Linked DNA regions of Ovis aries. The main gene of each other region encodes a partner of the protein of the gene in region 4 in a complex. Links are inferred from orthologs where the notes say so. Each region holds a gene or a part of one and is shown on either strand. Other genes may lie near its edges. The genes, in order: MAGOH, UPF3B, MAGOHB and CASC3.

The links.
Region 1: CASC3 (region 4) and MAGOH share a complex: the UniProt entries of both Homo sapiens proteins name them as parts of the mRNA splicing-dependent exon junction complex. The link is inferred for Ovis aries from reciprocal best matches to the Homo sapiens genes CASC3 and MAGOH.
Region 2: CASC3 (region 4) and UPF3B share a complex: the UniProt entries of both Homo sapiens proteins name them as parts of the mRNA splicing-dependent exon junction complex. The link is inferred for Ovis aries from reciprocal best matches to the Homo sapiens genes CASC3 and UPF3B.
Region 3: CASC3 (region 4) and MAGOHB share a complex: the UniProt entries of both Homo sapiens proteins name them as parts of the mRNA splicing-dependent exon junction complex. The link is inferred for Ovis aries from reciprocal best matches to the Homo sapiens genes CASC3 and MAGOHB.

Annotation. Positions count from the first base shown.
Region 1 is NC_056054.1:27,772,207-27,780,205, forward strand, and holds the start of MAGOH (protein mago nashi homolog), read right to left. Parts: upstream 4,898-7,999; 5' UTR 4,828-4,897; coding exon 4,740-4,827; intron 2,170-4,739; coding exon 2,111-2,169; intron 1-2,110. UniProt on the Homo sapiens protein: Required for pre-mRNA splicing as component of the spliceosome. Plays a redundant role with MAGOHB as core component of the exon junction complex (EJC) and in the nonsense-mediated decay (NMD) pathway.
Region 2 is NC_056080.1:114,677,884-114,685,347, forward strand, and holds part of UPF3B (regulator of nonsense transcripts 3B), read left to right. Parts: intron 1-114; coding exon 115-297; intron 298-679; coding exon 680-718; intron 719-2,545; coding exon 2,546-2,706; intron 2,707-3,040; coding exon 3,041-3,335; intron 3,336-6,570; coding exon 6,571-6,720; 3' UTR 6,721-7,464. UniProt on the Homo sapiens protein: Involved in nonsense-mediated decay (NMD) of mRNAs containing premature stop codons by associating with the nuclear exon junction complex (EJC) and serving as link between the EJC core and NMD machinery.
Region 3 is NC_056056.1:204,665,829-204,673,342, reverse strand, and holds part of MAGOHB (protein mago nashi homolog 2), read right to left. Parts: intron 3,266-7,514; coding exon 3,207-3,265; intron 2,344-3,206; coding exon 2,233-2,343; intron 141-2,232; coding exon 58-140; intron 1-57. UniProt on the Homo sapiens protein: Required for pre-mRNA splicing as component of the spliceosome. Plays a redundant role with MAGOH in the exon junction complex and in the nonsense-mediated decay (NMD) pathway.
Region 4 is NC_056064.1:40,180,879-40,188,869, reverse strand, and holds the start of CASC3 (protein CASC3), read right to left. Parts: upstream 5,391-7,991; 5' UTR 5,246-5,390; coding exon 4,718-5,245; intron 4,349-4,717; coding exon 4,321-4,348; intron 3,843-4,320; coding exon 3,805-3,842; intron 1-3,804. UniProt on the Homo sapiens protein: Required for pre-mRNA splicing as component of the spliceosome. Core component of the splicing-dependent multiprotein exon junction complex (EJC) deposited at splice junctions on mRNAs.

The DNA.
Region 1 (7,999 bases), on a different chromosome or scaffold from region 4:
CACATCTAGTTGTTTGTTTCTTGGTATATCCTGTTCATATGGACCTACTCCTTACCTATTTGCACACCTGAGCCCCAAAGAAAGATCTGTGAGTAACTCAGGTTATTTTAAACTAAATGACATGCTTCTGAAGAGCAGACACGTCTTTTACATTTTACTTTTAAAAAAAAGTGAAGATGCTGACATGTATGGGTAAGCTTAATACTGATCGCTAATTAAATATTACAGTATGAAAATATACTATTAAGACATTTTCAAATGTGACAAAGCAATTAAAAGGAAAGAATGGCTTTAATGAAGTTCAATGGTGTGGCAGAAATCACACCAAACACGGACTTCACAAAGGCAGGCAGAGGTCTAAATTCCTGCTCAGTTTCTTACTAGGAAAAGTAACTTTGAACAAGCCCCATAATTGATATATAGGTCTTCAATGTCTTATCTGTAAAGGATATGTAACACCACCCATCATAGAGGCTTACAATAGGGGTTAAAATAGGACTACAGATGTGGTACCTAGTGTCATGACTAGAATCTAACATGCATTCAATGTTAAGTGCTTTCCCACACTCCCCTTTTGCCTACTCAAATGCAAATTAAAAGAGCTCTATTGAGTGCTAGGTACCAGGGAATGCAGATGATACCACCCTAATGGCAGAAAGTGAAGAGGAACCAAAGAGCCTCTTGATGAAGGTTAAAGAGGAGAGTGAAAAAGCTGGCTTAAAACTCAACATTCAAAAAACTAAGATCATGGCATCCGGTCCCCTCACTTCATGGCAAACAGATGGGAGAAAAATGGAAACAGTGACAGACTTTATTTTCTTGGACTCCAAAATCACTATAGACAGTGACTGCAGCCATGAAGTTAACAGACACTTGCTCCCCGGAAGAAATGCTATGACAAATCTAGCTCAGTGCCGTCGCTCAGTCGCTCTGACTCTTTTCGACCCCATGGACTGCAGCACACCAGGCGTCCCTGTCCATCACCAACTACCAGGGTCCACCCAAACTCATGTCCATTGAGTCGATGATGCCATCTGTCGTCCCCTTCTCCTCCCACCTAGACAGCATATTAAAAAGCAGAGACATCACTTTGCTGACAAAGGTCCGTATAAACAAAGCTATTTTTTTTTCCAGTAGTTATATACAGATGAGAGAGCTGAACTATAATGAAGGCTGAGCGCCAAAGAATTGATGATTTTGAACTGGGTGCTGGAGACTTGAGTCCCTTGGATAGCAAGAAGATCAAACCAGTCAATCATAAAGGAAATAAGTCCTGAATATTCATTGGCAGGACTGATCTTGAAGCTGAAGTTCCAATACTTTGGCCACCTGATGCAAAGAGCCAACTCATTGGTAAAGATTCTGATGCTGGGAAAGATTGAGGGCAGGAGGAGAAGAGGCCAACAGAGGATGAGATAGTTAGAGGACATCACCAACTAAATGGACATGACTTTGAGCAAACTCTGGGAGATACTGAAGGACAGGGAAGCCTGGTGTACTGCAGTCCATGGGGTTGCAAAGTCAGATATGACTTAGCAACTGAACAACCACCACCAAGGAATATATCAAACACTAAGTTAGTGACAGGTATGTTTCTCAGATGAAGCAACTGAGACTTATCAAGCTCAACCAGGAAATTTTCCCAAGGTCACATGTTAGTAAAAGATTCAAGGTTCAAAACCAAGATCTGCAAGACTTCAATGATTACCAGTTATTAACTCATCACTATTAAAGAAAAACTAAAAGAGGATTTGAGAAAAACTTTAGAAGCCGTCTACAGAGACATTTATACTTTCCTATTCTTTATCTTTCAGTATTACTCCCAGATTGGACTTCCCTGGTGGCTCAGACGGTAAAGTGTCTGCCCACAATTGCAATGCAGGAGGCCTGGGTTTGATCCCGGGTCAGGAAGATCCCCTGGAGGAGGAAATGGCAACCCACTCCAGTACTCTTGCCTGGAAAATCCCATGGATGGAGGAGCCTACAGTCCATGGGGTCGCAAAGAGTCGGACACGACTGAGCGCCTTCACTTTCATTACTCCCAGAAAGAATAAAAACAGGACACAAGGCTAAATGGTAGTGAATGAAAGGCCCTCAGAAGATTCATTACCTCTTTTCTGATCATGACATCATTTTTGTAATTGCTGTTGTTGGCATATCTCAATTTCCCTGTGAGGGACAAAAAACAAATTCAATATATAATAAAAACATAAAGAAAGCGTCATTAGCCTACCAAGACTATCAGCTATTGCTTAAAATGTATCCTAACTTACCCTTCAAAGTGTCTAATAGTTTTAGTATTTACCCCTCTGGTGTTTCAGCAACACTAGTCTTTTCAGTTTTTCACTTTAGGCTTTGGTGAACAAAAAAATGCCACCTGCCTTGTCAGTAAACAAAGGCTGTTGAAGCCATTAAGCCATCAGCCACTGCAGCCACACCACCCCCAGCCCCTTCCCCAAGGGTGCACTCTGAGGGGATTCAGGATGTTGAAAACAGGATGCTGGTCCTGGACAGTTAAGGTGAATATCAAAGGAATGATTTCAAAGAGCCCAGCATCCTCCCATACAAAGAAAAATGCTAACTTCATTAACTTTAGATGTCTGGTATTTTATTAACAGTAACCTTTAGATGTTCTACCTGTTTTTTGTTTGTTTTGGGTTTTTTTTCCCCTCTAAAACCTCCTATATATCCTGGCTCATCCCTCACCTCTTCAGAATAGTCCCTCAAAGCTATCTGAGAGCCTGTCTCCCAGGCTTATGTCCCCAGTGTTTCCACTAAATAAAACAATTCTCAAACTTTAAGTTATTTATTTTTTTTCCCCAGTGAACACTATTAAATAACCTTCTAGCCAAAACTACAGCTGACAATGATTTACAATTCTTGCAAAAGACAGCTCAGGTGTGATAAAAGAACAGACTCTTGTGACTGGCAAATTGTATCTCAGCTGGCTAATGTCCTCAGCTGAAAATAGGAGTGATTGATAACCTACCTACACACAGGGCCTTCAGAGGCTCAAAAGAATTGTGAAAGTTTCTGAAAACTATAAAATGGTTTTTACATATATTTACATATGACTGTGAAACACTGATCTATTCCTTTTCTAAACATGATAGAAAAGCTGTGGTTTTATTATTGAGCATTTTTGGTATACAAGGCCCTCTGTAACATTGTTCATCAAACAGGCTGATTTGGGTATATATGGTGGATATGAAGAAGATAAAAGGAAATAAAGGAGATAATTTTTTCCCTATAGAAGGCACACTAAAAAGAGTGAAAACAACTGATGCCTTACTGCACTGTGTCTCTGCCTCAAGTCTCTCTCCATTCAGTTCATTCTCCGTAGAGTGGACAGAGTGAAACAGTAACAGATGGATCCAATTGGGTCACTCTAATATTGACATTTTAATACTGACAACGGCTCCCCACTACCTTCTTGATAAAGTCCAAAATCCTCAATGTGGCTTCCGGCTAAGCTGAGCTCATTTCCAGCCTCATTCCTACAACAGGACTCTCACACAGAGCTGGAGTTAACCAAAATACAGTTCACCCGTAAACGATGTATGGGTTAGGTGCCTTCTTTCCACTCCCAGAGTCTTTTCTGTTTCTTTCTACAACACCTTATACACTGTCTTATCATTGTTAACATAACTTTCTCCACAATTTGGGCTTGTCAGTTCATTCATGGGGTCCCAAAGAGTCTTAGCAACTGAACTACAAGAAGCTCATTTTTTATGCCTTCATTTAGTGGAAGCTTTCTGCCATCTTTCACTCCTTTTCCTTCACCATATTGGTCCCTCACCAAATCCTATCAATTGGCAAAGTCCTATTGGTTCTGCCTCCAACTGTATCCTAAATCCTTCTCTACTTTTACTATCACTCTAGTTCTAACCAACATCCTTTTTCTCTTAACAATTGTAACCATCTCCTGTTATAGTTCTAACCAACATCCTTTTTCTCTTAACAACTGTAACCATCTCCTGTTAAGTAGTTTTCATTCTTGCCTATTCTGCACCTAATAATTACAATACTTTCTCAAAAATAGATTACACCTCTGCTTAAAACTTCCCAATTGCTTCCTGCTGCACTTAGAAAAAAAAATCCAAACTCACCAAGACTGTATGAGGTGGCCCCTGCCTACCTAATTGACATCATCTCCTACTATTCTCCCCGGAGTTTTCACTGCTCTTCAGCCACAATGGCCACCTGAAACATGCCTAGCTCATCTCTGCCTAGAATGTTCTTTTCCCGAGCTGGCTCCTTCTTTGTCAATCAGAGCTCAGCTCGAACACCGGCTCTTCAGCGAGTTCTCCAATAGCTATCCTTCCTTAAAGCGGCCCATCAGCAATTGTTCCATCATTTTATTTTCTGATCACTCAACACTATCTGGGATATTTTTTTGTTTACGACCTCCCAGTAAAAGAATACAAGCTCCACGAGAGAGGAAGCTTGTTTATCGTTCACTCCTACACCCCAGATTGTGGAAGTGAGACTGGCACAGATAGGTGCTCAAGAAAGGTTCGTTGAATAAAGCAATATGGTCAAAATCGTCACTAAACAGAAGCCCCAGCACACGGACAGGAAGAATCAGTGGGGCGGACAAGGATCGTTCCTTCCAAATCGGCGCCTCACACCCTTGGTCCCTTCCTCTAGTTTTTCGTACATTACGGATCCCCGGCCCCCCCACTCTCCCGCCCCCAGGCATAGTCCTCGCTCCCGGGGAGCCGGGAGGCTTCTCTCACCGTCGGGCCGGAACTCAAATTCCAGGAATTCGTGGCCGAATTTGCCTTTGTGCCCCACGTAGTAACGCAGGTAAAAGTCACTCTCCATGGCTCGCAAAACGGAGACAAGACCAAACTTTTAAGAGCAATCCGCACCGCCGCTAAAGGCGCCCAACACTGACGTTTACTGCGGCGCGAGGAAGTGACGTTAGGAAACGTCATCGTGCGTCGCGGAGCGACTCCCTCTCTCCTCCCACTTCCGGAGATGGGACCAGGCGACTTTTCCCTTCCCGCCGGAATAAAGCCCCTTTCCCCCGGAGGCGAAGTCTGTTCAGCTCCGCCCCCTCGGCCTGCGACTGGGAGAGGGTGAGGGCTGTTCGTCAGTATCCCCATTGGGCTTGAGGCCCAGGCTCCAGTTTCAATTAGGATACCCAACAGTGTGAGTCGAAATAGGCCCTTCACCGTCTCTGAACCTAGGTCGTCCCATCAGTAAAACAGGGTTAAAGGATCCGACCTCTTGGGAGAACGCAGCGCGGCGCGGCGCGTCTCTAACGTTGGCTCCGACTGAACTCTGCTGTTTAAAAATCAGTTCAAGAAACTTCTCAGCGACGCTTTCCCTAAATCCACAGTGGACCTTGCCATTTTTTTTTTTTTTTTTTTGCAACTAACTCTCCCGCACTTATTCTCCATTTTATCTCTTTCTACCTCACTTTTTCCCCTTTTTGCCTCACTGGTCTCTAGATGAGTTGTTGTGAGTAAGAGTTAAGTTTTGAATGTTTGATCTCCCACTCCATCCGCGCAATTGAATCGCCTCGGACGGAGCACCTAAAAAATACTGGTTCCAAACCAATAAAGCCAAAATCATCCACAGTGAACCTGTGTGTTGGTGTTTACTTTTTCTCCGCAGTTTGAATCAGGACTGTGAACTACTGTCCAGGAAGCTCGTGTGTTTTCAGGCCTAAGTGGTTGACTGCGAATGTTTTCTCGGCTGTGGAAAATTTTTTCCTCCTTGATTAGGCCAAGGGCAACTAAACTCTTATTAGAAACCTGCTTTAGCTCGTCTAAGTTCCAGCCAAATGGAAAACGGATTTGTTTCTAGAGACAGTGCTGAAATGGCATCATTTTGAGGGCCTGCGAAAGAGTCAGACGCGACTGAGCACGCGCGACTATAGCACTATTCTGTCTTCAGGCTGCTTGCCATTTCCTTCTCCAATGCATGAAAGTGAAGTTGCTCAGTAGTGTCCGACTCCTGGCGTCGTCCCTGAATCTCATTCCCAATCTTGCCGTTACTACTTTTCTCCCCGAAAAAGTATTGATAATAGAATGAAGAGTGGGTGCTGGGGTGGTGGGTGGGGGGAATGTCACTGGAGATTTGTGTTAAAATAATCCCTCGTGTGACAGTGATTCACTGTGACCAAAGGTGAACTGATTAAACTTTTTGGACCTCAGGTTTCTTATCTTTAAAGTGAGCATAGTAATGTTCACTTTTCATTTTCATGCATTGGAGAAGGAAATGGCAACCCACTCCAGTACTCTTGCCTGGAGAATCCCAGGGGCGGGGGAGTCTGGCAGGCTGCCGTTTATGGGGTCGCACAGAATCAGACACGACTGAAGCGACTTAGCAGCAGCAGCAGCAGTAATGTTACACATCTGGCAGAACTATTGCAAGAATAAAAAACAATGTCTTGGAAATTGAAAACTACTTTTCAAACTCCAAATTGCTATAAGGCATCTTATTAAAAAAACACTGGATGTGGGTGGTAACAAGGGACTTGTATAAAAAAGATAAGGGAATCACTTAATAAATGTCAGCCCCTAGGCTGAGTGTGTTTAATTTCTTTGAATTTTCTTTGAATTTTCACAACAGTCTTGAGGTGGTAATAGAGTTAAGTATTTAGAGACATTGGGTAATTACCACAGGGTTATTTTCCAAGAGTGAAATTATAAAAATTATAATGTAATTGATGAATCTGGGCATCTGGAGACATGGCAAATATCAAAAAGTGATGAGAAAATTTAAAGGACACCCAACTCCAATCATGCTGTAAGGTAATTTCAGGCTTGGGGGTATGAAACCACATAGTAAAGTATAGCTGAAAGAGCATGGTCTATGTGTCTAATGTGTCTGAAAGTGAAAGTGAAGTTGCTCAGTGGTGTCCCACTCTTAGCGACCCCGTGGACTGCAGCCTACCAGGCTCCTCCATCCATGGGATTTGAGGTTAGCATAATTTACTGAGCATCTACTGTGTGTCATGTGCTGGGAATACAGTGATGGCAGTCAAGGAGCATATAAGCAATTATAATGTAGGCATCAAATTTATAAATAGGGGAAGCACAGAATACTATGGCAGCTCATGCAGGGGCTCCTAATTCAGTCTAGGGGACAAAGTTAAGTCTTCCTGAAGAAAATGTTCCAGACAGAGGGCTCAGAACTTTTTGGTTATAATACAGAAAAAGAAAAAAAAAAAGTTGAGAATATAGTAATTCAGTTGGAGAAGAGGTACAAGACTAATCACAAAGGACCTTATAACCCATGTTAAGGAGTTTGGGTTAAAACCCAAGGCTGTTGGATTTAAATGCAAGGAAAACAGATGAAGGGCTTTAAGCAGGAAAGTGGAAAGGGGTGTTGGTGACAAGACCGGCTGCATTCTAGAAAGATCACTCTGTGCAATGTTGTAGACTGGATTGTAAAATGGAAAGATTAGAAGAAGGAAACTCACAATGGAGATTAAGATGAAGCCAGAAAGGTAGGGGAAAAATCAGGAGTATGGTATCATGGAAACCAAAATAAGAGTATTTTAAGACAGGAGAGCCAACAGTGTTATATGCTGCTTCTAGGTCAAGGAAGAAAAGGATTGAAAGTATTTCCAAGGTTTATAATTAAGGAGATCCTGGGTTACCTTGGTAAAAACAATCTCATTGGCATGGGAGTGAGAGGCAGAGCATTGGAATACAAGTAGGCAAAATTTGTTGTGGAAGCACAGAGTTACTTAACCTTACGAGTTAGGTCTGAGTCTGAGAGAACAGAGAAGGCTCCCTAAGCATAGTACTCAGGACAAATAGGAGTTAAGCCAGATGAAGAGAGAGAGAAGGAAAATTGAGGGAGAGAACACCACGTGTGCTATATGTATTTTGGGGGCACTAAACATAACTTTGCCAACAAAGGTCCATCTCGTCTAGGCTATAGTTTTTCCTGTGGTCATGTATGGATGTGAGAGTTGGACTGTTAAGAAAGCTGAACGCCGAAGAATTGATGCTTTTGAACTGTGGTGTTGGAGAAG
Region 2 (7,464 bases), on a different chromosome or scaffold from region 4:
AAGTGGAAAGTGGGAAGGAAAGATGATACAGTTAAGTGGGTGCCCACCGTACTTTCTGAACTATGTTTTTGGTGGTAATTACCTTGTCTGAAGACTGTTGATGTTTCTTTGCAGAGGATGAGAGAAGAAAAGAGAGAAGAAAGGAGGCGGCGAGAAATAGAAAGAAAAAGACAAAGAGAAGAAGAGAGGAGAAAGTGGAAAGAAGAAGAGAAACGAAAACGCAAAGATATAGAAAAGCTAAAGAAGATAGACAGAGTTCCAGAAAGGGACAAATTAAAGGATGAACCAAAGATTAAGGTATGAACATAAGTTAAACCGACTGCATGTTGCTGAAAATTGCATGTACTATATCTACTTCTTCAAATATGCATGCATCTTGTATTGGTGTAAACTATTTTAGTTTTGTTTTTGTCTTTTTTGGGAGGGAGTGAATCTTTCCTGTAATATTCATGTATTACTCTTAATTTAAGATAATTTAAAAGATTAAGTAGTTTACATGGGATTTCTTTAGTGCAGTGTTATTTATAATCATTGAAAATGTTCGATTTTGGATTATTATTCTCTCAGTTCATATATAAGGGCGTAGGGCTGGCTGGCATGAATTATGGGTTTTATTCAGCTTTTCCTTCATATTTGATACATGAAGTTGCCTCATCTGTTTGTTTTCCACTGTCTTCAGGTACACAGGTTTCTGTTACAAGCTGTGAATCAGAAAAATGTAAGGACCAAGTACATGATACAGAGCACCTAGTATCATGTCACACACACACAGGTCTTAGTTAATAAGTCCTTTTGGTGGCGGTGGTGGTAGTGTTACCTGTAGAAAATGCCCTCAGGCTGACTTGAGTCTTAAAAGCTGAACCGTTTTAAATTCCTGATTTAGAAAGAAACCCAGATGATTTCCTGATGCTCTGCTGTGTACCCAGAAGCTTCAACAATGTGCAGTGAGAGGACAGCCATGCCTTAAGAGCTCTTTCCCCTTCCTTTATACACCTCTCATACCTGGCTGCCTTGTGGGAGTTTTTGGAATATACATCCTCTCCCCTCTCACATGATTCCCCACGTTACCTTCTTGGGTCTCCCTGGGAATCTGTGAGCAGCAGATTCTGATTAACACAGTGCATGTAGGAAGAGGAAAACCTGTGGAAAGACTCCAGCCTAGCTGCTTCCCTTCCAGGGGCCTGGCTTGGGCAGCCCTTGCTCCAGCAAACTGCCCAGGGAAGTACTTGTACATAGTATGGCAGAGAAAGTCAGAGAAAATCTCACAGAGATGATGGCTGAGTCTCCTTTTACCTCCTCAGAATTCAGCCGGTCAAGTCGCTAGGGCACCCCGAGGCTCTCCAGGACTCACTGGTGATAAGGGGCTTGGCGGTGGCAGGGTGGGGAGGTTCTCGTCTTAATTCCTTCTATCAATCTCTGTGTCTGCCCTGCTACAAGCAACCTGACTCGCTATTTCTGTCAGCAAGGCAGAAGGTCAAGCCGGCTATGCTAGAGACGTTCGTTAATAGTCTTATTAGAATAATGAACATCTTGGCTCCTGACGAAGATGTTCATTAGAGAAATAAGAACACTTGCAATGAAACCTGCACATGTTATCCTCACTTTGCACTGGTGCCTCTATAGTGTCCACTCTGGACTCACTGTTTTCAGTGGCTGTCTGTGTGCTGAAATACTTCATGCTTAAGTCTCATGCGCGATGCTTTGCCTTTAGCTTCGTGGCTTGTATGATGCCTTCACACTGAGATGAAACTCTGTATGATGCCTTCACTCTGAGACTTGAAATTCCTAAAAATCTCTCTGAATATCCAACACTTGGGGGTGTATTCTAGAGAGATTTGTAGAAGCGGCATAATAAACTTCTGTTAACAATCTGAACTTTATAAACCACTTTTTTTAGAATTGCATTCTGTCATATATACATATGACATTGAACAGTTCCTATTCAGTAGAGATGGAACTTCACAGTTCTGTTGTATGAGATATTTGGATTTTTAAATCAAATGCCAAATAATTCTTGCTTATCATCTCTAATGATAGTATGATTGTACCATCATAAGTATGTAGCTACTCTCAGACTCAAGGCAAAATTATTCCTGCAATGGATCTCTCCTTTGGTGACAAGGTATTTGTTGTTCTAATAACTGTGTAAAAATAGTCCAGCAATAATGACCTGGCTAGCATTTTAAATTTGTACCATATTTTCCTATCAAGTTATACCGATATGCTGGCTTGCTACAGAAGGCATACTTGAAAGTAAGGGTTGATCTACTCAAAGGTTGACCCATTTAAAGCCAAAGGAGTCTTGATCCTATTGCCACAAAGTGATTAAACCACTTCACTGGAGTGCATAACACTTTCACATTAATAGCACCCTTTTAGCAAATTACTGCTCTTTGTGCACTGTTTGTTCACCTGAAAGTTTGAGTACTGCAGAGACGGGGCCTTCAGTAGCCTGCATTGAAAATATTTAGTATATTGTTTTCTTTGCGAGAATCAGAAGACAATCCCATCCTTCAAAATAAACCTAAGTTTGTTCTCTTTAAAGCTGCTCAAGAAGCCAGAAAAAGGAGATGAAAAAGAATTGGACAAAAGAGAAAAGCTCAAGAAATTGGACAAAGAGAATCTGAGTGATGAAAGAGCCAGTGGGCAAAGTTGTACATTGCCCAAGCGTTCTGAGGGTGAATTTAAAGATGAAAAGCCTAAGAGGTCGGTAGTCGAGGGCTCTTGGGTACATTTGTTTTCGACCTGTTTCTGGCTGCTAGTTTTACTGCTGCATTCTGGACTTGTACCTGAATCAAGATACTGGGTTTTATGAGGGGTATGGGGATGAGGAGGACAGGTTTCAAGTATTTTAGTATCTTAATCTGGTTGAATGACTTGGGGTTTTTTTCCAAATTGCTTTTCAAAATAGTAGTTTTTTTGTTTTTTTCAATGCTGCTCCGAAAGTTCAGCCTCGTTGGAGTGGCCAAGGCAGGATCAGAGTGTTCCTTGTGATTAGAAGAGCTTCAAGGGTGCATTCTCAGATTTGTTTTTCGTGCAGACCTGAAGATGAGAGTGGCAGAGAATACAGGGAGAGGGAGCGGGATTATGATCGAGACCAAGAGCGCATCCTGCGGGAGAGAGAGAGGCTGAAGCGGCAGGAAGAAGAGCGCCGGAGGCAGAAGGAGCGCTATGAGAAAGAGAAGGCTTTCAAGAGAAAGGAAGAAGAAATGAAGAAGGAGAAAGAAACACTTCGGGATAAAGGAAAGAAGCCTGAAAGTACAGAGCCAGTAGGCAGCTCAGAAAAAACTGAAAAGAAAGAAGAAGTGGTTAAGAGAGATCGCATAAGAAACAAGGTGCTGCATTTCATTAAACTTCTTTTCATGAGGATTTTCTTTGTCTTTTCCTGCAAGTATAAAGGAGAGGGCTAGCTCATTGTTATGGAATTTTAGGGGAACTTTATCTGTATCTTTTTTCAGTCTTGGTGGGGTCCTTTTATTAAAGTTTGTGTATACTTTTCAACGGAGAAGGCAATGGCAACCCACTCCAGTACTCTTGCCTGGAGAATCCCATGGACGGAGGAGGCTGGTGGGCTGCAGTCCATGGGGTCACTATGAGTCGGATATGACTGAGCGACTTCACTTTCAGGTTTCACTTTCATGCATTGGAGAAGGAAATGGCAACCCACTCCAGTGTTCTTGCCTGGAGAATCCCAGGGACAGGGGAGCCTGGTGGGCTGCCATCTATGGGGTCACACAGAGTCGGACGCGACTGAAGCAATTTAGCAGCAGCAGTAGCAGTACTTTTCAAACATACACAAAAGTAGAGAGAACAGAGGAGTAGTAGGATGTACTTATCACCCAGCTTTGGCAATTATCACCTTGTGGCCAATTTTCTTTCTACTCTACCCCATCTTACTCCTATGGGATTATTTTCAAGCAAAACCTAGACAGATAATTTCTTCTTTAAATATGTAAAGACATATGTAAATATGTAAAGAGTAAAGACTTTTTTTAAAAAAGTTTGGTCACACTGTGAGGCAAATGGGATATGGGATCTTAGTTCCCCAACCAGGGACGAAACCCATGCTCTCTACAGTGGGAGTGTGGAGCCTTAACCATTGGATTGCCAGGGTTTTTTCTTAATAAAATAACCCTAATATTATTTTTCTTAATAAAATAACCCTAATAGCATTTTCACACCAGACAGAAGAATTTCTGACAATAACTCCTTAGCATCCTATCTACCCAATGTATAGATTTTCCCAATTGTCTCATTAACATCTCTTTTCATTAACATCTTTTTTATAGGCTCTAAACAAGGTCCACAAATTGTATTTGCTTGAAATGTTCCCTTAAGTCTCTTTTATTTTTATTTTTTTTTTTTTATCAGTCTTTCCGGAAACTGATCCGATTTTAAGTCTCTTTTAATCTAAGTAATTCCTCCTCCTTTCGTTTTCTACCATTTCTTTGTTGCAGAAACCAGTTTGCCCTCTAGAGCGTCTAATAGTCCAGAGTGGCTAATTATATCCCTGTGGTAACACTGAACATGTTCCGCTACCTTCTATGTTTCCTTGAAAACCAGTAGTCATATCTAGAGCAGGGTCAGAAATTTTTTTTCGTTCAAGGGCCAGATGGTAAATATTTTAGGCTTTTGTGGGCCACGTGGTCTCTGTCAAAACCAGTAAGCTTTGTAGGAAAGTAGGCATAAACAGCATGTAAAAGAATAAGCATGGCTGAGAGCCAAACTTTTTTCACAGAAAGAGGTGGGTGGCCCCCTCATCTAGAGGCCTTAATATATTCAGACCCAATTGTTGGCAAGAATACTTGATAGGTGGTGGTGTGCAGTTCCTACTGCATTGTATCAGGAAGCATACAATGTCTTGGTATCCGTTTATTGTGATGTTAAGATTGACCAATAGTAATGGTACTATGGTTATGTGATAAGATGTTCTTGCTCTTAGGATACACAAGCTGAAATATTACCAATGAAGAATCATATGATCAATAATAATGGTATTATGGTTATGTGATAGGATGTCCTTGCTCCGAGGATATACAAGCTGATACACAAGCACTTATTCTCCAGTGGTTCTGCAAAAATAATAATGTATCTATGTATGTGTGTGCCTGCATACACACTAGAGACAGCAAAGGCATTTTTGACAAAATGTTAATCATCATGAATCTAGGAGAAGGGTATTAGGTATTCATTGTACAAGTTTGGCAACATTTCTATAGATTTAAAATTTTTTGAGATAAAAAGTTGGAAAAATGGCTGATCAGTTAGCTCAGGTATTGTAAGCCTGATCCATGTAAGATTTTGTCAGCCTTTCTCCTAATGATGTTGTTTAGATTCATTATTTCATAGGGAGAGATTGGAAAATGTTGATATATATACAAATTCTGCCTTTCCTGTTGCATTTATGATCTGAAATTCTTCCACAGAGAGTTGTTTTCCCTTATCAACTATTTGGTTAGTCTTGAAATTCAGTTCACACAGGAAAGGCAAAAATAGCACTTGATCCATTCCTTTTATTTACAGTATTCAGAGTAATGCGTTGGTGTCCCAGCAACTTGTAGGGGTTATCAATGAGTTTTGTTCTGCTTAGTCTTTAAATAACTTGTGGATTTAGAAATACTTGGTGAACTCCAACTTGTTATTATCAGTTATTGCCCTTGTTGACGTTTAACTTGTACTATCTTTGCACACTGGCAGCCCCATCATCAGCTTCTCTAAATACTATGTGGCAGTCTCATCTGTTTTAATGTTTCTTCTTGTTAAAACAGTGAAATGTTTTGCTGGAATTACTCGCTTGAGAATAATGCTTTAAGGCTCTTTCATATGTCAGGGAGAAAGGACAAGGAAGGCTCATGTTGTCTTTTGTTGAATTAGGGGAAAAAAGGCCTATACATTTAAGTTTTCCAGGGTCATATTGTGATAAACCAAACACATTACTTGAACTGAGAGGTACCTGGTGATGATATTGAGGCCTATTTAGGAACCTGAGATGTAAAGTGTTACCTAGAGATTCTCAAGCTGGGTTGTCACCTTGTCAAATCTGAATTAAGAGAGAGTCATATTTGTGCTAAGTTACTAGTGTCTGAGCTCATAACTTCAGGGACTTTGCAGTATTAAGAATTGGCATTCTTTATTATTGTTTTCACTCCTAAAATTTTCTTAAGTGGCGGTGCATTTTAAAATCCATTTACTGATGGGGAGGAGAGGTAGACAACAACCACAGTTTCTAAATAAAAACTATTCAAGCTGATTCAGAACATCTTGAGATAGTAAAGAAAATTAGGCAGTAAACTTATCAAAATTTACTCTGGGCATATAAAATAATACTTGATAACTATTGCTTATAAATAGTTGTTTTTTATTTATAAAAATAAATAGTTGTGAAATAGTTGTTTTTCTTTGTAGGTAGGGGAAAGGAAGCAGGCAGTTTGAAGCCAAGTAACCATCAACACTTACTGTCATGTACTGTGCCCTCAAATTTTGATCTCGTGTGGGCTCTCACTGGTATATATATTCCCCTGGACATGCTTAGTAGCAGTTTTGTAACATGAGCATTTCATTTTACTTTAGGATCGCCCAGCGATGCAGCTTTACCAGCCAGGAGCTCGAAGCCGAAATCGACTCTGTCCCCCTGATGACAGCACCAAGTCCGGAGATTCAGCCATAGAAAAAAAGCAGGAAAGTGGTATTAGCCATAGAAAAGAAGGAAGCGAGGAGTGATAGGTCCAAATGGCCTTAGGTGTCCTGACTGTCTAGGCAGCCAAAGAGCACGAATTAAGCAATCCAGAAGTGCCTTCAGGGCAAAGGAATAGAGAGAGAGAGAAAGGGGGTCGCTGTGCTGGTGGGGTACACTGCAGAGGAGTATGTTTTGCGTTAAAGCAGGAACCCGATTGCAGGTTCAGATTGGAAGTACAATTTTCATTTTTCATGCAGTTCCTACAAATTTAAAGTGTCAGACAAAGCTGAGGGGGAGAGGACACGCATTGCAGTTTGCAGGCAAGAAGTATCACGAGAGGACTTATTTAGGTATGACACGAGAAGAAGATAGAAGTGGCTTTAAAATCAAAAGGTTTTCTTAATCCTGGATTGAATTTTCTTAAATTTCAATGGAGCAGAGTCACTGTGAAGTCTCGTTCAGATCTAGTTATAGTCATTGTTGGTGATAACTGTTGACTTTGTGTAGTGTAGAAGCAAGAAGCATGTAATTGTAATACAAGTACAGTGAAGGATATAACACATTTTCACTTATGCAGAAATTTAAATAGTCATGTCATGTCGATATCTTATGTCCTAAAGTTTTAGGATTAGTTTGGGAACAGCTACCCACTCCAGTATTCTGGCCTGGAGAATTCCATGGACTATGTAGTCCATGGGGTTGCAAAGAGTCAGACACAACTCAGCAACTTTCACTTTCAGTTTAGTTCTTTGTTTGCTTACGTGAGATTAGTGTAAAAAAATTGTTTT
Region 3 (7,514 bases), on a different chromosome or scaffold from region 4:
AAATCATGTCAATTTAGTCAAAATGCTTTAACTTTTATTAATGCTTTTAATACTCACTTTGACTGATTGACATCAATAAGAGAACCTATTTTTGATGTGGTAAAAGAAATGTGTTCATCTCCAATTACAATTTCAAGCTCCTGAAAAAAATAAAACAGAGAAATGTAGTTAGTGTAAAAATTCACCTCTTACAACCAAGAGGTCCTGATTTTAGCTGCAAGTTTTCTAGCCGTAATAGAGGAGGGGGTAAAAATAAAAAAGAAACAATTTGTTAACTATGTCTGTAAAGTAAAAATCTCAACTCCTCAGAGTTCCCCAGTATTAGGATGAATCAAGAACTGCTTTCCAGAGATCTGACAAAGAAGATGCTATCAAATGAATGATAGACTTCAGAGGCACACAGAAATAGTGATGTCAATAAAAACTAAGAATATGGGTTTAAGCCTATTTTTAATATAATAAATACAAATACATTTATCCTTTCTACCAGGCTCTACAAATAAACTGCATAATGCTAATAATAGCACTATTTAGCACCTACTGTGTATCAGACCTGCTGATAGGGACTTTAAAAACATGTTCTTTGTAATCCCCAAAACTGGGCTAATAAAGCCTGTCTTTCTCAGGTCAGCTTTATTGCCTGATTTTACAAATATAAAGCCCAAGACTCAAAAGCAAGATAAAAAAAAAAAACTGTTTGTATTTACAACCACTAATATGTGATGGTACTAATATTTAACTCTTGGATTGTAAAACTGAAAGATTTGTGTACAAAATTAAGTATAAATTTTTCTCCACATTTTATCTGCAAATCTAAAATGAAAAATTAAGAGGCTATGTCTGTATTAAGTTTTCAGTTTAAATTAACAGATGCCATTAAAGACATTCCCAGATCTGTATTTGATCAGAAAAGATCTAATTATGCCCCTTTATGGCACACACACAGAATGGATAATTAACTAAGACTCTCAAGCAATCAAAATCTTTGACCTAAAGATCCAAGAGACAACTTCAACGGCAGAAGTAATCCTCCCCATTATCCAAAACACATGAACACATGATCAAGTGGGTAGATGAAAACACTGCTCTCTCCTTGAGTCTAAGAGATAAATAAAAGGTTTGCTGCTATTGTTTCTGATTTTTAATGCCTATATATATATATGTGTGTCTAAAACAAATGGAAATTTAAATTTACTTCTTAAAAGTGTTCACAGTGAATACAATAAATACTGTTAACTATTACCTTTGCTTTCCTAAATAATGTTTCTTTAAATAGAAGCGTTAAGTTACTGCTACAGAGCATCAGCATCTATTCTCCACATTTTCTTCTAGTCAAAGAAGTTGTTATAGAGTATAATCCTCAGGAACACACAAAAGCGAAATTAAGTGTTTCTTCCTCCTGCAGTCATATCTCATTCTTCCAGCAGTTGAAAAGACCCAATTCAGAAATCAAACTGTCTTTCTACAGAGTGAAATCAGGCCTTCAGAGCTCTTCAGCAGCTCTTTGAGAAATATCAATTTTTCTGAAGGGAATATGACAGGCAAAGGCAATGGTCAGTTTGAACAAAGAAACCAATCAAATCTCTCTGGAGTGTAAAGAAGCAAATACGAATTTTCAAAGTTATATATCTGGAGAAAGTGAATTTTACATAGTGAGAATCCTAATTCTCAAATTCATCAAACATTTGAGTTTTTTCCTACCTATTTTTATTATTTATTATCATTGGGCTTCCCAAGTGGTGCCAGTGGTAAAGAATCTGCCTGCCAGTGCCGGAGATGCAAGAGACACAGCTTTGGCTTTGACCCCTGGGTCAGGAAGATTCCCTGGAGGAGGAAATGGCAGCCCACTATAGTATTCTTGCCTGGAAAATCCCATGGACAGAGGAGCCTGGTGGATTACAGTTCATCAGGCAAGAACTCATTAGTCCTTATAAAAGTACTTAACCTATAATGGAAATTAATTCTAATACTGTGAAAACACCCTAAGGTTAGCTGCGGTGGCTGCAGAGAAGACTGTTCAGAAAGATGTCTAAACTGACTCCTTTATTACTAGGAGGTAGCTCACAAATTGATGCAAAGTGAAATACAATTATAAACCATTTACCAGGTGCCTACTAGATGAAAAAAATCCAAGATTCAATGAGGATCTATTCTAGATAAATAAGGAGAACCACAACAATTCTATTAATAATGTTTACAATTTATGCATTTAAAGAATTATTAAATACAAACCTGTCGGCCAACCCTGTCAGGGGGAGGCCACAAAGCATCATCTTCTTTTGTAATTTCACTGTCATCAATAATTCTCTTCAGTTCTTCCATGACACTCTTGTGTACATAAGCCTGATAGCAAGTAATAAAAATGTTAGGGTCTATGTCTTGACACAACTTAGACAGAAATAATAAAACGGAGTTACAAACCCTGAGTATTTAAATAGAATATTAAAGAAAAATTTAATTCTGATTCTAAAAGGAGAGAATCATTCATCCTTCTTATTGCTTTTTCTTCACTCTCTTGCCCTTTCCTTTAAAACATATTTTTCCCCCTTTGTATCATTATTCCCTCCTTAAAATCTTGTATCAAATATCTGAGTGGTTAACACAAAATTTATGAGGTGAACGGTGTCAAATTCAAATACACATCACAGTGCGGGGAACTCTTTCTTACACCTAACTTTTGAGGCTTTCATTTAAAATGCATCCTGTGTTTAAAACATTATTGTCAATTAATTTTAAATAATGAGCAGAGTAAAAAGACCAAGTTAATTATAAAATGAATTAACTTATATGCTCAAATGTGAGACTACAACTTAATATATTCAGATTGATTCTTTTGCTGTTATAGATGCTACAAAGAATCCTTTTTCAATCTATAAATCAGCCTCTTCTCTATAGCCTTGAATGTGAATGTGAATGTGAAGTCGCTCAGTCGTGTCCGACTCTTTGCGACCCCATGGAGTGTAGCCTACCAGGCTCCTCTGTCCATGGGATTTTCCAGGCAATAGTACTGGAGTGGGTTGCCATTTCCTTCTCCAGTGGATCTTCCCAACCCAGGGATCAAACCCAGGTCTCCCGCATTGTAGACAGACGCTTTACCGCCTGAGCCACCAGGGAAATCTTATGTGTACTTTAAACAGGTAAGTAAAAATACAGACATGAGGAAAACAGGCTTAACACAAAGAATTAGACATCTGAAAAGAACGTACCTCCTTTCTGATCATGACATCATTTTTATAATTGCTGTTGTTGGCATATCTAAGTTTTCCTGTAGGAAGTACAAAAAAATTCAACCTATAACAGCAAAAACTGCTAAAGATAATAATAAATAAAGAAATGACATCATAAGCAATTTTGAAGGTAAAATCTATATTACACTACTACTTTTATTAATATTTGCTCCCTCCTGGCATAAGATCAATGCTGGATACGCATTTGCTGTTATGCTGGCTGAAGTTGAAGCCAATCAACTGTTTATACTCTATGCCTTCAATATAATTTCATATTATAAGAGAGTCATTTTCAAAACCCATTTTCTTAAGCAACATCATGATTTACATAGGGAATCTCAAAAAAGAACTAATGTTTCTTCTAAAGTTTACCTTACTTTATTGTGATTGTCTTATTTATGTCTTATTGGTGCTGAGTTACCCAGAGCATTTCATCTAATCTGTAAAACAACCCTAAAAAGTAGGTTTCATTCTCTCACCTATACACAGTTAAGAAAAACAGAGAGTTAAGTAACTTGCTCAGAGTCACACAAGATTCAGACTTAAATCTACTTTGTACCAATATACACGCCTTTCTAACGACTCCAAAATGTTCTCATTTATTTTCCTTCACTTCAATGTATTCTGGTAATGCTACTATTTTAGAACTGTAATTAAGAAGCAATACAAACTACATGCTGCTTCCAAATAAAAACTGGCTAGTTTGTTTTCTGATTTACATTGAATGTACGCTTCTCCTCATGGCTGGTCAGTTGCCTAGGTACAGCTGTAACGTGATCCAGATCCTCTAAAATGAGAGGTTATCTTAATAAGGTGAATCTCTAAGGAACTGCTCTCTTTGGGTCTCATTATTACTGACAGAAAGGTTATGAAACAGTGGTGGCAGATGAGAACTACTGTTCTGAAATGAAACTTCCCTGAAAATAGTCAATCGAAGATTAAGAAGCCTCTTATCCTTAACCATCAGAAGGCAGATAGAATGAAAACCATAATCACAGAAAACTAATCAAACTGATCACATGGACCTCAGCCTTGTCTAACTCAACCAAACTATGAACCACGCTGTGTAGGCCCACCAAAACATATAGGTCATGGTGGAGAGTTCTGACAAAACGTGGTCCACTGGAGAAGGGAATGGCAAACCACTTCAGTATTCTTGTCTCAAGAACCCCATGAACAGTATGAAAAGGCAAAAAGATATGACACACAAAAGATGAACTCCCCATGTCGGTAGGTGCCCGATATGCTACTGGAGAAGAGTGGAGAAATAACTCCAGAAAGAATGAAGAGACAAAGCCAAAGAGAAAACAACTCCCAGTTGTGGATGTGACTGGTGATGGAAGTGAAGTCCGATGCTGTAAAGAACAAGACTGCATAGGAACCTGGAATGTTAGGTCCACAAATCACGGTAAATTGAAAGTAGTCAAACAGGAGATGGCAAGAGTGAACACTGACATTTTAGAAATCAGTGAACTAAAATGGACTGGAATGGGTGAATTTAATTCAGATGACCAGTGTATGTACTACTGTAGGCAAGAATTGCTCAGAAGAAATGGAGTAGCCCCCATAGCCAAGAAAACAGGCCAAAATGCAGTACTTGGGTGCGGTCTCAAAAATGACAGAATGATTTGTTTGTTTCCAGGCAAATCATTCAATATCACAGCAATCCAAGTCTATGGCCCAACTACTAACGCTGAAGAACGTGAAGTTGAATGATTCTATGAAGACCTACAAGACCTTCTAGAACTAACACCCAAAAAAGATATCCCTTTCATCATAGGGGTCTAGAATGCAAAAGTAGGAAGTCAAGAGACACCTGGAGTAACAGGCAAGTTTGGCCTTGGAGTGCAAAACGAAGCAGGGCAAAGGCTAACAGAGTTTTGCCAAGAGAACACACTGGTCATAGCAAACACCCTCTTCCAACAACACGAGAAGACTCTACACATGGACATCACCAGATGGTCAATACTGAAACTGGACTGATTATATTCTTTGCAGCCAAAGAAGAGAAGCTCTATATAGTCAGCAAAAACAAGACTAGGAGCTGACTTAAATTGAAAAAAGTAGGGAAAACTACTAGACCATTCAGGTATGACCTAGATCAAATCCCTTATGATTATACAGTGGAAGTAAGAAATAAATTCAAGGGATTAGATGTGATAAACAGAGTGCCTGATGAACTATGGACAGAGGTTTGTGACACTGTACAGGAGGCAGTGATCAAGATCATCCCCAAGAAAAAGAAATACAAAAAAGGCAAAATGGTTATCTGAGGAGGCCTTACAAATAGCTGTGAAAAGAAGAGAAGCTAAAGGCAGAGGAGAAAAGGAAAGATATACCCATTTGAATGCAGAGTTCTTCCATAGCAAGAAGAGATAAGAAAGCCTTCCTCAGTGATCAATGCAAAGAAATAGAGGAAAATAATAGAATGGGAAAGACTAGAATTCTCTTCAAGAAAATTAGAGATACTAAGGGAACATTTCATGCAAAGATGGGCTTAATAGAGGACAGAAATGGTATGGACCTAACAGAAGCAGAAGATATTAAGAAGAGGTGGCAAGAATACACAGAACTATATAAAAAAGTTCTTCATGACCCAGATAACCACAATGGTGTGATTACTCACCTAGAGCCAGATATCCTGGAGTGCAAAGTCAAGTGGGCCTTAGGAAGCATCACTATGAACAAAGCTAGTGGAGGTGATGGAATTCCGGCTGAGCTACTTCAAATTCTAAAAGATGATGCTGTGAAAGTGCTGCACTCAATATGCCAGCAAATTGGGAAAACTCAGCAGTGGCCACAGGACTGGAAAAGGTCAGCTTTCATTCCAATCCCAAGGAAAGGCAATGCCAAAAAATGTTCAAACTACTGCACAATTGCAATCATCTCACATGTTAGCAAAGTAATGCTCAAAATTCTCTAAGCCAGGCTTCAACAGTACATAAACATATACTTCAGTTTTATTGACTACACCAAAGCCTTTGATGGTGTGGATCACAATAAACTGTAGAAAATTCCTCAAAAGATGGGAATACCAGACCACCTTACCTGCCTTCTGAGAAATCTGTATGCAGGTCAAGAAGCAATAGTTAAAACCAGACATGGAACAACAGACTGGTTCCAAGTTGGGAAAGGAGTATGTCAAGGCTGTATATCATCACCCTGCTTATTTAACTTCTATGTAAAGTACATCATGCGAAATGCCAGGCTGGATAAAGCACAAACTGGAATCAAGATTGCCGAAGAAATATCAATAACCTTAGATATTCAGATGACGGCACCCTTAGGGCAGAAAAGCAAAGAACTAAAGAGCCTTTTGATGAAAGAGGAGTGAAAAAGTTGGCTTAAAATTCAACATTCAAAAACTAAGATCATGGCACCTGGTCCCATCACTTCATGGCAAATAGATGGGGAAACAGCGGAAACAGTGGCTGACTTATTTTTCTGGGCTCCAAAATCACTGCAGATGGTGATTGCAGCCATGAAATTAAAAGACGCTTACTCCTTGGAAGAAAAGTCCTGACCAACCTAGAGAGCACATTAAAAAGCAGAGACATTACTTTGCTGACAAAGATTCCTCTAGTCAAAGCTATCGTTTTTCCAGTAGTCAGGTATGGATGTGAGAGTTGCACTATAAAGTAAGTTGAGTGTGGAAGAATTTATGCTTTTGAATTATGGTGTTGGGAGAAGACTCTTGAGAGTCCCTTGGACTGCAAGGAGATTCAACCAGTCCATCCTTAAGGAAATCAGTCCTGAATATTCATTGGAAGAGACTGATGCTGGGAAAGACTGAAGGCAGGAGAAGGGAGCAACAGAGGATGAGATGGTTGGATGGCATCACTGTCTCGATGGACATGAGTTTGAACTTAGCTTCCAGGAGTTGGTGATGGACAGGGAAGCCTGATCTGCTGCATTCCATGGGGTCGCCAAGAGTTGGAGTGACTGAACTGAACTGAAGATTAAGAAAAGACTGTTTCATCCATGTGACTGGCTAAAATTGACCAGCTAAAAGCTGGTCACATGCCAAGACCCTGAAGACAGTATAAACCCAGGGATTGAACCCAGGTCTCCCACATTGTAGGCAGATGCTTTACCATCTGAGCCACCAGGGAAGTCCAAAGAAAGAAAAGATAAAGAGAATTCAAGTAAATTTGGCTCCTGAGCTAAATTTAGAAACAACCTGAGGGGAACCAGGAAGATTAGGGATTAAGGTTCCTAAATAATTGCAGAATGTAGTTACCCTGACTTCTACCTGATGTATCTGATATTCTTCCCTTTTGCTAGTAT
Region 4 (7,991 bases):
TACCATGGAAAGACAATTTGCAAGAAATACAATGGATACAGATAGCATGGTGAGTTGCACAATGAGTGAGTGACCATCAAAATCTTTTTTAAAGATACACTATTAAAAAAAGGATGAAAAACTAATCTGTCAGACTAAGAGACAGATCAAAATTTAAGAAACAGGCAAAACTAAGCATAGCATCTAGGTATACACAGTTAGTAACTAAGAAGAAATGCAATCAAGTAACAGATAACTACGTAAGGCAAAATATCAAGTCAAACTCTTTAATCTAGATCAGTGCTGTCCAACAAAACTCGCTGGAATGAGGGAAATGTTTTTACCTATACACATGAAGAGCTGAACTTTTTTATTAACTCGAATAGCCACATATGGCTGGTGACTATCCTATTTGACACAACAGAACTACACTCCTCTCTTAAATTTTAGGCAACACATACCAGATATTGCCACATCAACGCTGCACCTGTTCCTCAATCTCAAAACATCCAAAACTTAACCCAACACTGTCCTTCCCGGAATCTCTTCCTCCTGTGGTCCCTTTCTTAGTGACCAACACCATTCTCCAACCTGGGCATTACTTGGACTCCTTTTTCTTTTTTTTTGCTATTACAAATGTATTGAACTTCAACATTATTAGCACAATCTTTTTTCTTAAGGTAACAACACTTTTTTTCCCCTTATAATTACTAGTTTTTACAACAGGAGCTGAATCTCACATGTAATGAAATTGTATTATGATACTTTACTTATGAAAAAAGATTTCTCCAAATGATAAATGCTCAAATGTAAAGGGTAAAGTAGAATTGCAGTGTTAACACAGGAATGTGTGTCAAAAAAACCAAATTAATTTAAATAAGTCATTCTAAATGTTAACATTAGAAGAACTGGGTGAAAAGCCTGTGGAACATCTATATTCTCTTTGCGATTTTTTTTGTAAATGCAGAATTACTCCAAAATAAAATGTATTTAGAAGAAAAGTCCTTGCAGTTCTATTTCATTTACTAATCCAAGGAAAGTTTATTGAGGGCCTATCACAGATACTGTTCTAAGCTCCCAGGATAGAACAGTGACAAAGACAGTCTCAGCCCTCCAGGAGCTTGCATTCTGCTCAGAGCTGAAGGAAATGGATATTAAAATCTGAAGGTTGGATTGCAGACAGGTTATGTGAGGCAGAAGTCAGTCTTGGGACAAAACAACAGAGGACACTCATGAGCAAGAGTCAAAACATTCAGCATTATTCTAGGGCTTTGGATGAAGCTAGAGAAACCCAGATCACCAAGCTCCCTCACCCCATTCCCTTCCCTCACCATGCTGTCGCTGTTCTTGTCAGTAAACTTTCTGGCTCTATCACAGGCATCTGGTCAGGTCCCAGCCCTCACCTGGATCAACATCTCCCTTCAGGAGAGGTCAAACAGTGCTAGGCATCTAAAGCTTATAGGAACCAAAACGGCAGTCTTTCCAGTTTCAGCAGAATTCTCTTCTCTGACTCCTTAATTCAGGCTCCACATTCAATCAATCAAGAAATTGTTATTAATAATAATACCTAAATATCTCTCAAATCTACGTCTTGCGGTGCCACTGCCATTGTCCCTTCTTTAGGGCACTATCACGCTCCTTGGACTACTCTCTTAACAGCTCTGTCTTCAGTCTTCCCTCATCCTCAGATCCTCCTCCAGTTAAGCCTCCAATAGCCAGCCTTTCTTTCTTTGCTGTTAGAGTAACATCCAAACTCATTATATACATAATGGTAAACTGCTACAAAGTCACAATCACCAAACCTCACTGAATACTCCACATTGCCTGGCAGCCTTTCCGATGTTTCCATTCTTTAATGACTACTGCAAACATTACTCACTCCCAAACCTCTCATCCTCCTTTAATTCTTTGTGGGTAACTTTACAACTGACTTCACAGAAAGTCAGTCAACCACCAGTCACCACGTTTCGCCATCCCACAGCCTAAATGGCTGCCAGTGCTGCCCACTTCTGTTGCCACTGCCGCCACATTTTCTGCTTTCCTAGTCTTCCACAGTAGCTTTCTTAACTAGTTTTTCTGCCTCTAATCTTGCTCCCTTCAGATAATTCTCCCCACTGCACACAAAACAATTGTTAAAGACAATAATTTTAAAATATTACTGTGAATCAACCTGGGATGTTGTTAACATATAAATATCTGAGTCTGCCCTCCTGCAAGAGTCTGTTTCAACAGGATTTTCTTTCATGTAGACGTTCCTTGGATCTGACAAACACTGCTTTAAAATTTAAGTCTAATCCATACTCCATATCATACTCTTGTTTAAAACCCTGTTTTACTTTCTTAGAATAAAATCCAAATACTTTTTCAACCAGGCTTATAAAGTGCTTTAAGATTTAGACTGAGATTCATCCTTACCACCAGTTATACTAAATCTTCCATGTCCTGCAACTCACTATCCTCCAATCCCACCCCTTCTGGACGTTCTTCTCGGACTGTTTCCTCTGCTAAGAAAATTCTAGCTAGCTAACTCCTACTCATCATTCAGGTCTCTATTTGAAGAGTCCCTCCTGTAAATACTTCCAAACACCCTATACTCAGTTAGCTGCCCCTGCCATGTGCTCCCAAAGCACCCTATGCGTCCCATATCATGGCATTTAACAAAAGGTTTTTGTAATTACTTAACTGTCTGTATTTTCCCTCTCTGATCTGGAATGTAAATTCCATGAGAGCAGAACCATGTATCTTTTATTCCAGGGCCTAGCACAGCTCCTGGCACTGAGAAGGCATTTAATAAAGAGAAAGAAGTAATCCCTGCATGATCTGACCCCTACTCTATAATTTGCCTTTATTTCTGGTATCCATCCTGTCCCAACGATGTTCCAGCCACACCAAACTACTTCCAAGTTTCCAGATAGTCAACCTTCCCTCCTATCTCTGAGCTTTTGCAGCTATTGTTCCCTCCGCCTAGAACATGATTTGCCTGGCTAACTCCAATTTATTCTTCTCTGACTGCCTAATATGGAATCAGTACCCAGTCATTAACACCTTATTTAACCCAACCGCCAGCAGTTGTCACCAAGTCCTATGATTTCCTCAATGTTTGTCTGACTTCCTTACTAAGCTGTAAGATTCCGAAACATAGGAACTTTGTTACAGTGTTCACTTTTGCATCTCCAAGGCTTAATGGTAATTCTAGTATGTAGTAACAGTTCTACAAAATTTACAGAATGAACCTTTGAATCCACAATCCAATTCTTTCTGTATAAATCAGAGCTCTATTCAACAGTTCCAGGAAACAAGTAGTCATTCTGATAACATCTCTAGTTTATCCAATCAAAGCAAACTAAGTTCACAAACATCTGGCTTAGGGAAACTTTCTGCTAAAGACAGAAAACCTCATCCATAAACTGAGAAATGTTTCTGACACAAACCACTCAGAATCCTACCCTTCTGAGGTCTTCAGATATACTCAAAAAAAATACCCAAATGGTTGGTTTCACCACCGAGGCATCATAAAACGGAGTGTGAAACAGCCTGTGAAGGGCCAAAGAATGTTCTCATTCTCATATTTAGCATCTTATTTTCTTTAGATAGGGGGAAAGGTCAGCTATTAACAGTGTAACACATGTGGCCTGAAGAGGTTTATACAAAGCTTCCCTCTCTATAACTGAACAACACTTTTTATAATAGTTTTTCAGAAGCATAAATGAAGAATGCACAAGTGGAGTAACAAACAGGTCAGATGCTTTCAAACCACAGGTGGGTACAATTTTTAAAACACATTTTCCAACCTACATCATAGGAAAAAGAATCTATCACACTCACTTCTGAATCTTCTGCACTTTCATAATCCGAGAGAACAGCTGAAAGAAAACAGAAACATATAAAGAAAAAAAAATGGAACAGAAATTTTACAAATACATCTTCCAGTGCTTGTTGTGGGTCAAGCTAAAACTCTCATTTAATCCTGACATCAACCTATGAGTCCCCATTTACAAATGGAAAACAGGTTTAAAGAGTGACTTTGACTTTCCCAAGATCATACAGCTAAAACTTATGCTCTTGAACGTTAAACTACAAAGAGCCCCTTTGTGGCACCCTCCCCAAAACCCTTAACAGTCTGCTGCTGCTGCTGCTGCTAAGTCACTTCAGTCGTGTCCGACTCCGTGCGACCCCATGGACAGCAGCCCACCAGGCTCCTCCGTCCCTGGGATTCTCCAGGCAAGAATACTGGAGTGGGTTGCCATTTCCTTCTCCACTGAACAGTCTGAGAGGATGTCAACTGCTGCAGACAGGTGACCTGAGTCTGGGGGCAAAGATCTCTATCATGATGCTACTCACCATCGCCCTCGATGCCATCTTCACTCTCCTGAAGGAAAGAAGACATGGGTTAGTTCTATGATTTCCAGGGGGTGGAGAAACGAAGAATGAACACAAAATGGTTGAAAAGGGAGACGAGGGAAGGTATATCTTTAACAGACAAGATCTGAGGGAGGCCCCATCTATCCACCTCCAGTTCCAATTTCTGAATAAATATCCGCTTTCCATCCGCAGCAGTTCCGCCTGTCCCCCAACAAACCCTCAATCCCTTCTCTTCCCTTGGAGCTCCGGATGCAAACCGCACCGGGATCGCTCTCCTCTTCTCCAACACACTACGCCTCAGCATCTACAGTCAACTCCCAGCCTCCCATCACCACCTACACCCCGCCCCCGGTCCGCCCCGCCCGCGCGCACTCACACACTCCGACTCCTCAGCGCTCTTAGCGCCCCCGCTCTCCACTCGCCGCAGATGAAGGGCCCCAGCTCGGCCTCCGCGCTGGGAAGGCAGAGAGCCGCTGCCGCCGCCTTCAACGCTACCGCTGCAGCTCCCGCCGCCCCGCGCCGGGGAACCGCCGCTGTCTGAGCCGGAGGCACCAGATTCTTCGTCCTCGGTGTCCTGCGAAGCGCGCTGCCGCCGCCGGTCCGCCATCTTACGGAGAACGGCCGCCGCTGGCCAGATCCTGACGTACCCCGCCCGTCGCAGGGGCTGCCGGGAGGCTTGAGAGCCGGTCCCAGCATGCTTCACTTGCGGCGCTGTTCGCCCCGTTTTTCGGGGGGAGGGGCTAGGGGCGGAGCTGGCACGCTGCAGCACGTTTGCGGGTGCGCGGAATTGCGTAATTGGTGACATGAGGGGGCGTGGTGAGGCCCCTGACTTCCCGGCGGTTGGGCCCCTGGCGAGGAGAGTTGCTCTTGGGCGGGCAGTCGGCTCCGGTCCTTGCCCGGCCATCTTGGGCTTGAGTGGATAGTGTTGACCTGTCACAGCTTCACTGCGGCATTAGAGTTGTTTTATGATTTTCTTTTTCATCTCTCATTTCTACCTACGTTTGAAGCAGATCGTTTGACTGCATTCGTTTGCTTAGTAAAAACCACGAATCAAGAAACCTCTGAAGCCGTTGTGCTGCTTGAGATTTATCAGTCTATTTTAAACTAAAGGGCGGGGGAGAAACCAGTTGTCTGTAGGGAAGCCCGAGGATTTAGTGTTGCAGCAGTAGTGTTTCCCCTGTATTCTCATTTCTTCCCCCTTCATGTGTCTTCCCACCCCAGCCATCACCTCCCTGAAAGTGCAGGCTAATACGATGTGCTTCGTCGCTCAGTCGTGTCCTACTCCTTGCGGCCCCATGGACTGTAGCCCACCAGGCTCCTCTGTCCATGGGGATTCTCCAAGGAAGAATACACGGACGGGTAGCCATGCCCTCCTCCAGGGGATCTTCCCAACCCAGGAATTGAACCCAGGTCTCCCACATTGCAGGCGAATTCTTTACCGTCTAAACCAGATGGTAATCTTACTAAAATTTTGGAACCGACTTAGAGATAATCATAGGAACGGGCATTGGTTTAATATCCCGAAATGATTTTCTTGCCAAGCAGGTAGATGACAGAATGCTGTGATTTTAGCAACACATTTTTCAGCAAGGAAAAAAAATTTGTATATTTTCTCTGTACCATAATAAAAAACATATAAGAAGCATGAGCTAACTGTGCACCTAAAGGAGTACACAATAATATACACCCGAGGAAAGTCACTATCATAGCACAGGACTCTGTCCCGTGTAATGCTTTTACAAATAATATGGTCAAGGCTACTGATGCTTATCAAATTTGTAGACATTATGAAACTAGACGGTATTATGAATGCCTTCAGAGATAGTCAGGATCCAAATAGAGCTCAACTGGTTAAACAAGTGGTCAAATGTGACAACTTGTAAATACAGGTCCAAAAACCAACTGCTTGGGCTCAAAATGAAGGATATATGATTTTTAAAGTGTTAAAAAAAAGAAAACCTAGAGGATCCTATCAATCACAAAGTAAATTGATATAGTAAGGTTGCCAAATTTAGTGTCTAAATAAGTAAAGTGATAGTCTGCCACTTTGCCTTTCAGTTGTTTGGTCTGCATTCAATTTTTAAATGGACTTGAGCAAATTGTTCACTCATCCAGAGAACTGAAACATTCAAGATTCTTTTGAGGAACAATTGTAAGAGCTCTGAAATGTGAACCATGAAGATTGGGACTGCCACAGCAAAGTATTTGAGGGACTATGAGGAAAGGAGGAATTGATTTTTTTGTCACCCTGGAAAGCAAAGCAAGAACCAGTGGGCTCAAGTTACAAGAACTTAGATTTTGTCAATGAGGAAGAGTTCTCTAACATTTAGGAAAAACTGGACAGGAGAAAACGAAAGTGTTAGAGAAGAAGCTGGATTTCATTTGTCTGGAATGTTGTCAGAGGGAAATCATGTACTTGGGTCAGACTACATGACCTATAAGGTCCTTCCAGCTGAGGTTTTATTAATTAGACACCAGGCACCAACCATCCTATCATCTCTTATTGTTTTTTAATTGCCCATTATCTGTAAGGAAGAACCCAGGACAAAGAGATGGAACATACACTGTGTTCATACACAAATGGGAGTTAGTATCTCATATAAAAGGGAAAATGGTGTTTTTCTATTTTGTGAAAGTGGATTTCTTTTTCTAGTGCTTTAAAATATCCAAGCAAAACTGTTTAATGCTTCCCAATAAATCTAATAAATTGAAGCAGAAGTTCAAAAATTAACAGCCACAATAGTTTATTTACAGTTGAACTCTTTATAAGATATTTACAAGACAACCAATTTTACACATCAGAAATGGTATCAAAAGTATGAATTACAACACAGACAACAATATGAAATGGGCATAAAACAAAGCTGAAGTGGACAGACAAGCAATTTCTTTTTTTAATTTATTAACACTAGCTTAAACTTTGTTAAAGAAAGAAACAAAGAACTATGTTTTAGGAGAACGGCAGGGCCTTCACTTGAAGATTGAATTTCACAGTGTTGTATCCCATGTAGGGAAAAAATAAGACTAATTTCCCCCCACACTCTGACACACTGTCTTTTTGCTCTTGGAACTTTGCTCATCTACTCTCCAACCTCCTTCTCAAAAAAACTTCAACATGTCCAAATCAAAGGAGAATTGATCTAGAAAAGGGGGCAATAAAATAAAGAGATACTAGGTAGAGGGAAAATCAAGGAAATTAGAATCCACATAAGTCTGGCCAAATAGCACCTCATGGATTCCTCTTAGTATAACTTGAGTTCAGAATCTGGGAAGTCCCTTGGGTAGGAACAAAGGTGATATCTGCTAACCCATATCCAAAGGAATCCAACAAATGCTGAAAATTAAGAAACTGAGAGGAATCAAAGAATAAAATAAAGAGACACTGACTGGTCTTTTTTCTTCTTGGGCACATTTTAAAGGAACATAACATAGGTCAGAGTAGGAAAGCCAAACAGTTTGCCATATTAAAATGATGGTAGAACAAAGAAAATCTGGCCTAGTTTTTCTAGAAATCTCCTTCCTCTCCTTAAGGTGTGAGATGAGAGCCCCTAGTGGAATAAGTCCTATTTCTCTCTACATTCTTGCTGCAAAGAAGTTCACAGCAGGTTCCCTTGTGGAGAGCCCACTCTCCTAAGCAGATGGAGTTACAA